2 linked regions of the Macaca fascicularis genome follow. The protein of the gene in region 2 purifies or fractionates together with the protein of the main gene of each other region. This does not show direct contact. Links are inferred from orthologs where the notes say so. Each region holds a gene or a part of one and is shown on either strand. Other genes may lie near its edges.

Region 1 (4,247 bases), on a different chromosome or scaffold from region 2:
TTACAAAATTCCAAAATGTCATGAAATGCAACCTACAAAAATAAAATGTGCTTTCCAACGGTAGTCATTATTTCTTCCACAGTTTAAAAAAAAAAAACCAAAAAACCTGACTTCCAGGCATTTTGACATCATCATTATTGGCATATCAATCTAGTCAATAAAGATGAGGATGAACACAGAAGAGTTCCACATTGCCAAAAGGATAACTAAAAAACAAGTTGCTCCATTGACCTGTTAGTATCATGCAAAAAGAAAAAAAGTAACTGAATACATAGGCAGGCTATTTCTGGGAAAATCAGCTTTGCCACACACACACACACACACACACACACACACACACACACACACAAAATTCATGAATGCTGAGTTTATTCTGTGATTTTAGAAAAACACCTTAGATCATACTTCCAAACAAGAAAAAGTCATTTATAAAATATTCATTTTCCAAGTGCAAAACAGATTAAGTTGTGACATATATTAGGCATGTGTGCTCAAACTTAGTTTTGATCATGAATTGCAGTGATTCTGAACAGGAAACTGACGGTGCATTTTAAGACAAAAAAATCACACTGTCAACAACAACAACAAAATGAGTCAGTGATAAGATGGATAAAAAAAAAATTCCTAATACTTCTATACTAGGAAGGTAAAAATAACTATGTTATTCAATAAATTGAACTGCCAAATACGTTTTTTTGGTAAGAACACGGCAGAGTAAGATGGGTGGGAAAAGGCTCACTTTTAAAGGCAGACCTGAGTTTTATCACAGGTTCTACCTAGCAGAACTCAAATTCCCCATCTGGCAAATGAAAATATCACTAATTTAATACGGTAGTGACATCATCTATACTCACATTTAAACTTAAAATCAATTTTCATTTAAAATAACAACTTCAAGTCAAAAAAGTTGACTTGCTTTTGGCTTAAAATTACTGTATTCAGATATTAACAAGACCTCTGGTGAAAATTTATTTTTCCAAAGTTTGGATGGCAGACCCCCCTTTGAGAGGCTGAGGATAACTATGAACAGATTTTTGTCCAGAACTGCACATTTACACACAATTGCTTTGTGTCAAACCCCTTAAGCCTTGGAACCGAATTCAAGTTAAAGAGCCCTGGTAACCCAAGAGAACCATTTCCTTAAGGGGAAAAAAGGCAACACTGAATATATTTTAATTTGAAAGAAATCTTATCCTAATCACTCAAAACTACAGGAACCATCAGGAGTTCCTATGTCACTAAACCTACCCTCACACTAAAAGTTCTTTAAAAGATTACTAACATTAATGTTACCTAACCCCAGCTACCCAAATAAAACTACTGTGCCAAATGCCTCAATGGTAAACTACGCTCCCATTTCCCCACTGTACAACGATTGTGCGTCAAGACTCATCTTCGGAGCAGTATTACCTTCATTCTAAGGATAGGAAAATCCCAGAAATCTTTGGGCTCCGACTTACAAAATATTTCAAAACAGGTCGAAGGCCAAGAATAACAATTGGAAGGAGCAATTACTTTTTCCCCAGATATTGCAAAGCCTGGAGGCATATCCAATTTACCCGCCTGGCAGCTTCCCCATCTTTCCAGCCCCCTAAGTACCGTCAGCATCCTCTGGACAACCCAAACCCAGAAGTCTCGGGAGCCGAGTGGTACTAATTTTTTTTTTTTTTTAAGGCGAGACGCCAAAAAGAGAAAAAGTGCCGGACTGAGAGCCAATCAACTGCGCCTGGTTCTCTAATTCATTCCTACACTTACTCATCCCCCCTAAATTCGATGGGGGATCCGAGACAGCTGCTGCTGCCTTGGTTGCTTCCCTTCCAGTGGAACAGTGCCTGGGAGGGGCTTCCTCTCCCTTCACAGAAGCAGCTGCGCCCCGCTTATCCCCACTGCGCACTCGGCCATCCAGCTCTCGCCATTGTTTCTGCCCAGAACAGATACCGCCCCCGCAAAGACCGGGAAGAAGAAAAAGAGGCCCAAGTCCTCGGACGCGCTGCTTTTAAATGCCTCCTTCACCCTGCCCGTGCATCCCGCTCCTAAGGGGTCATCTCCTCGCCCTTCCCCGAAGTTTGGTGGAAACTAAAAACCACATTCAGAGGTAGGAGAGGGAATTATGGGAGTCTAGTGCGAAAAAAAGATGGGTCCCCCTGGGCCACGGTAACCAAGAACATCTGTTCATTGAGAGCATTCAAAGATTTGTCAAGATTCACGAAAGAGACAAATAATTTCAATGTGAGGAGCCGGAAATCCATTTTGCTTGGCTCCAATAGGTTAAGAACAAGGGAGCAAGGGTGAGAGCATCATTTCGTATCCACAGGGTGTGAAGCTGAGTCTGGTGCAGAGAGAGAAGCCCGGCTCTGCGTCCGATCGCCACGATCCGGCGAGGGAGCCAGCTCCTCCTCCCCGCTGCGCCCGCTCCCCACGCCGCAAGCTGCCCTCACCTCCATCTCGGCGTCTGCGGGACCCGCGCTGGCCGCAGACGCAACCGCCTGCGCAGCGACGCCCTCGGGGCCGCCTTTGTTGCTGCTGTTGCTCCCGCCGCTGGCGGTCGAGGCTGCGGGCTTGGAAGGCGCGCTCTCGGGAGGCGGGGGTGGCGGAGGCTCGGCCGCGGACGACATGATGTTCCGTCTGCGTCACCCGCTGCTGCCAGAGGCCGAGTCCGGCGGGGATGGACGGGGAGGCCTAGGCCCGGGTGGCTACGTCGCAATAAACTGGTGGAGGAGCGAGACTCCCACCCGAGCGCTCCCCCGCGCCGCGCCTCCGCGACGGGCCTGAGCCGGGCCCAGGAGCTACACACTCCCAGACGTTCTGCTCTTCCGCGGGGCTCTAGGTTCCACCGGCGCTTACCTCACGGCGGGAATCACGTCGACGAGGATGGGCGGGGCCAGACGGGTCACTGAGGTCAAGGAAGGCGGGCTGATTTAGAGAAGGGCGGAGGGTTGGGGGAAGGGAAAAGGAAAACGAAACAGAGACTGAGGCTGGGAAAACGCTTCGCCGCCTCCTCCTCCTCTTCCTCTGGCAGATATCGTCTATCTCGCCAGCATCCAGGACGACTACCTACGCCACCGACTTTCAACCCTCGCGAGATTCCTTATTGGTTCACTGACTGGGTACTGAGTGCGCATGCTCATACTGTCCTCCTTACCCTTGGCCCCTCCTCCTCACCCTTGGCCCCTCCTCCTCCAGACCTCTAGCGGGCTCGGGAGAGAAGAGTAGGCGGGACCTCGAGGGAGCGCTCGGAGGCGTAGGTTTGTGCGTCTGCTGTCTGGCAGGACGCGAGCTCAGTGTTTTAGGCTTTCGTAACGGCTCACGGTTCTCGTTGTGTCTTCCGGGCCTGGCTGGGATCGGCGGCACTACTGGAAAACTTGCCTGAGTTTTGCGCTGCCCATTCAAACTTGGAAGTCTTGTGTCTGACCCCAAAACTTCTGCCGTATCCGCTTAGAGGCGTGACGCCACAGCCTTGACGACGTTATGGTTACCCCAAGTGACGTCTCACTGTTTTGTTAAAAAAAAAAAAAAAAAGTCCGTTAGTTTTTTCTTTTTTGGTTTTTGTTTTGTTTTTTTGCCTTCTCATGTTAGCTGCGTCAGTTATTTCTAAATATCCTCTTTAAGCACAGAGTTAAATGCTATTTCTTCTGAATTTATATGCTAAAGGTAAGCAAATAACATGCACACTACCATGTAAGTGAGAAACACAAATAGTATGTGGGGAAGATAGGTGGTATGATGTAATCTTTTCCTCAAGCATCAAACATTAAAATTAAAACGCACTTTCTCAAGTGTTCAGCACTAATTTTGTATACTGCCTTAGGCAGCCTTCAATGTAGCTTAAGGGCCTTGTGCATTCATCTCCTGCAAAATTTAAATACATTGTAGTCTATTTGATAACAAATCTGCATACTACAGTAGATTATCTGCCCAGCACAGGGTCTTATTTATCTTTTTTTATTCGTCATATCCAGTATTCTATAAATGTTTGTTGAATAAAGGAGGCACATTTTTCAAGAGTTGAGGTTTGAGCTAACTGGTTATGTTGAATTCCAAACAAAAGGGATCTCCTTTGAATATATAGCCTGCAAATTTTTTAACTAATGGAATAATTCTTTAATTGACATCTGGAAAAATGTCCCCACTCCACTAGAAATGCTAGTTCTTAGACTGTAAGGAAATGTCTAAGGATATGTGCAAAGATAAATACCTACAATGATGTTCATCATACTCTTCATATGTAACTGCAAAAAGCTAACAGC
Region 2 (3,562 bases):
TGAACTCCTGGCCTCAGGTGATCCGCCCACCTCGGCCTCCCACAGTGTTGGGATGACAGGCGTGAGCCACTGTGCCCATCCAGAGACAAATTTTCAATATCTTTTTTTTTGTTGTTGTTGTTGAGACGGAGTCTCGCTCTGTCGCCCGGGCTGGAGTGCAGTGGCTGGATCTCAGCTCACTGCAAGCTCCGCCTCCCGCGTTCACGCCATTCTCCTGCCTCAGCCTCCCGAGTAGCTGGGACTACAGGCGCCGCCACCTCGCCCGGCTAGTTTTTTGGTTTTTTTTAGTAGAGACGGGGTTTCACCATGTTAGCCAGGATGGTCTCGATCTCCTGACTTTGTGATCCGCCCGTCTCGGCCTCCCAAAGTGCTGGGATTACAGGCATGAGCCACCGCGGCCGGCCTCAGTATCTTATTATGCAAAAAATACTCATGGATTTGGCATTCAGCAGCCCTGGGACTGACCCCAGCTCGGCAACCTAGATGAGAGGTAACTTCGGGGAAGTGCCTCTGCCTCTTGGAGTCTCAGTGAGAAAACACCAAGAACCCCTCCCGGAGCGGCCGCAGGAGAAGCTACGACGTGCACGGCACGCGTGAGACCGCGCTGGACAGAGGCACTTACTCCTGTTCCCACCTCGCCCCACCTCAGGGGATTCCTTCAATAAAAAGCAGTTTCCAAATAAGGAAAAATCTCAGCAAGGTTCTTTTATTTATTTATTTTTTGAGACAGAGTCACGCACTTTGGCCCAGGCTGAAGTGCAGTGGCGCGATCTCGGCTCACTGCAAGCTCCGCCTCCCAGGCTCAGGCCATTCTCCTGCCTCAGCCTCCCGAGTAGCTGGGACTACAGGTGCCCGCCACCTCGCCCGGCTAGTTTTTTGTATTTTTTTTAGTAGAGACGGGGGTTTCACCGTGTTAGCCAGGATGGTCTCGATCTCCTGACCTCATGATTTGCTTGCCTTGGCCTCCTAAAGTGCTGGAATTACAGGCATGAGCCACTGAGCCTGGCCTAGCAAGTTTCATTCTCAAAAAAGAACAGGGGCTGGGCGCGGTGGCTCAAGCCTGTAATCCCAGCACTTTGGGAGGCCGAGACGGGTAGATCACGAGGTCAGGAGATTGAGACCATCCTGGCTAACACGGTGAAACCCCATCTCTACTAAAAAATACAAAAAACTAGCCGGGCGAGGTGGCGGGTGCCTGTAGTCCCAGCTACTCGGGAGGCTGAGGCAGGAGAATGGCGTAAACCCGGGAGGCGGAGCTTGCAGTGAGCTGAGATCCGGCCACTGCACCCCAGCCTGGGCGACAGAGCAAGACTCCGTCTCAAAAAAAAAAAAAAAAGAACAGGGAGGAAGCCAGGCTACTAGCATCTTTCTTTTTTTTTGGGTCGAAGTCTCGCTCTTGTCACCCAGGCTGGAGTGCAATGGTGAGATCTCAACTCACTGCACCCTCCACCTCCCGGGTTCAAGCGATTCTCCTGCCTCAGCCTCCCAAGTAGCTGGGATTACAGGTGCCTGCCACCACGCCCAGCTAACTTTTGTATTTTTAGTAGAGACGGGGTTTCACCATGTTGGCCAGGCTGATCTTGAACTCTTGACCTCAAATGATCCACCCACCTTGGCCTCCCCAAAGTGCTGGGATTATAGGTGTGAGTTACCACGCCCAGCTGTTTTTTTTTACTTTTTGAGATAGGCTCTTGCTCTGTAGCCCAGGCTGGAGTGCAGTGGGTTGATCCTAGCTCACTGCAGCCTCAAAACTGCAGGGCTAGTGATGCTCTCGCCCCAGCCTTCTGCACAGATGGGACTCCAGGTGTGTGTCAGCGTGCCTGGCTAAGCTTCTTAGTTTTTGGACACACATGAGGGGTCCTTAACTCAGCACTTGGTCACCTCCTTGTGGCTGGTGTTTTGGGATCGGGGAGGGACTCCCGCACTCTGCAGGTTCTGCCACAAGTGAGTCCTCGCCCCCAGCAGCCCCGCGGCCCCACTCACGTCAGGAAGTGTGGATGGTGCTTGACTGTGTCCTCCAGTTTCTCTAGGAAGGTCAGGTCCGTGGCCTCCCCGGGGCGCAGACACTCCTCATCCTGGGGGGTGTGGCACAGGGGGAGGGACATATGGGGGAGGGGCCAGAGAGCATAGAGGATTGGGGTCACCATGCTGGGAGGCTCAGACACAGGGGAGGGGGCAGATCACTGGGAGCCTCCATAGAGCTTCTGACCGGGGCGGCGCCTCCCTCCATCCGCCATTCACAGCCCTGCCCTGTCTTTACTCAGCCCCAGACTCTGGCCCTCTGTGGACCAGCCTGGAGAGAACGGAGAACGGGGACATCCTCCCACCCAGCCTCCAGCACGAGGCCTTGAAGGCACAGAGGACTCACCAAAATCGAGATGATGCCCTTAAACTTCTCCTCCACCAGATCACAGATGATCTTGTTGTTGAAATACTGGACGGGCTCCCACTGAGGGGCAGAAAGGAAGGCAGGCATCACCGTGGTGTCCTGGCACCCTCTCCCAGGGGCCCCGATGCCCAGGCTCCCCATGGCCCAGAGAGTGCCCTCAGGCTTGCACACACCGCGATGCCCTCTGCCTCGTACTCCTCCTGCTCCGACTTGAGCGTGAGCTCGATGAAGAGCTGCTGCAGCTTCTCGTTGCAGTAATTGATGCAGAACTGCTCAAAGCTGTAAGGAAGGAGAAGCGTCCACAGTGGCTCAGTGGGGACATAGGACCAGCAGAGGGGAAAGGCTGGACGAGGCCCCTGAGCATAGGAGGTGAGACACAGAGCCAGTCCCCGGCTGGCTGGGGAGTCACGGGGCAGGAATGAGAGGCTGGGGGACGGAAGAGAGGGAGCAGGACAGGAGCCTGGGAGGAGACGGGGGAAACGTGGCACTGACCTGTTATGCTGAAACACTTCGAAGCCATAAATATCCAGGAGCCCGAGAACCGTGGTACTCCGCCAGCTGGGGCTCTCCGCATCCTAGGGCAGTCATTCAACCGAAGGCGTGGACCCCTGCGTGTGCCAGCCCCACCCCGCAGCCCCCCGCCCCACTGATGGCCCTCCCTCCTGCCTCGGGAGCAGTGTGGAGTGAGCCCTCACCTTGGAGGCCAGCGACCTGTTGATCTTCCCCACGAGCCAGGTAAAAGTGCGGCTGTACACAGCCTTGGCGAGAGCGTCTCGCGCATAGGCGGCCTGCTCCAGGTTCAGCGGGCTCAGGAGCTGTGGGCGCAGCGTGAGGCAAGGAGATGAATGCCACACAGCTCTTGCATCCCACCTGCCCCCAGGCTCAGGCAGACCAGGAAGCCGTCACCACTCTGCACGCCCAGCTCCAGCGAGCCTGTGGTGTGGGGAGGGGTGCTGGTAGTGGGACCTCAGGGAGGACAGGTGGCCGCCCCAGTGGGAAGGTGGTAGAGGGACAGGTCTGAGTAGCTGGGATGACAGACGCCCACCACCACACCCGGCTAATTTTTGCATTTTAGTAGAGATGGGGTTTCACCATGTTGGCCAGGATGGTCTCGAACTCCTGACCTCAGGTGACCCACCCTACCTCAGCCTCCCCAAGTGCTGGGGTTACAAG

What was found.
Region 1: the proteins of MYO1C (region 2) and SMARCA5 purify together in Homo sapiens (affinity purification with western blotting; 3 studies listed by BioGRID, with this or other methods). This does not show direct contact. The link is inferred for Macaca fascicularis from reciprocal best matches to the Homo sapiens genes MYO1C and SMARCA5.

The regions. Positions count from the first base shown.
Region 1 is NC_088379.1:148,622,942-148,627,188, reverse strand, and holds the start of SMARCA5 (SWI/SNF-related matrix-associated actin-dependent regulator of chromatin subfamily A member 5), read right to left. Parts: upstream 2,839-4,247; 5' UTR 2,616-2,838; coding exon 2,439-2,615; intron 1-2,438. UniProt on the Homo sapiens protein: ATPase that possesses intrinsic ATP-dependent nucleosome-remodeling activity.
Region 2 is NC_088390.1:1,589,043-1,592,604, forward strand, and holds part of MYO1C (unconventional myosin-Ic), read right to left. Parts: intron 3,205-3,562; coding exon 3,085-3,204; intron 2,965-3,084; coding exon 2,882-2,964; intron 2,669-2,881; coding exon 2,563-2,668; intron 2,450-2,562; coding exon 2,369-2,449; intron 2,076-2,368; coding exon 1,984-2,075; intron 1-1,983.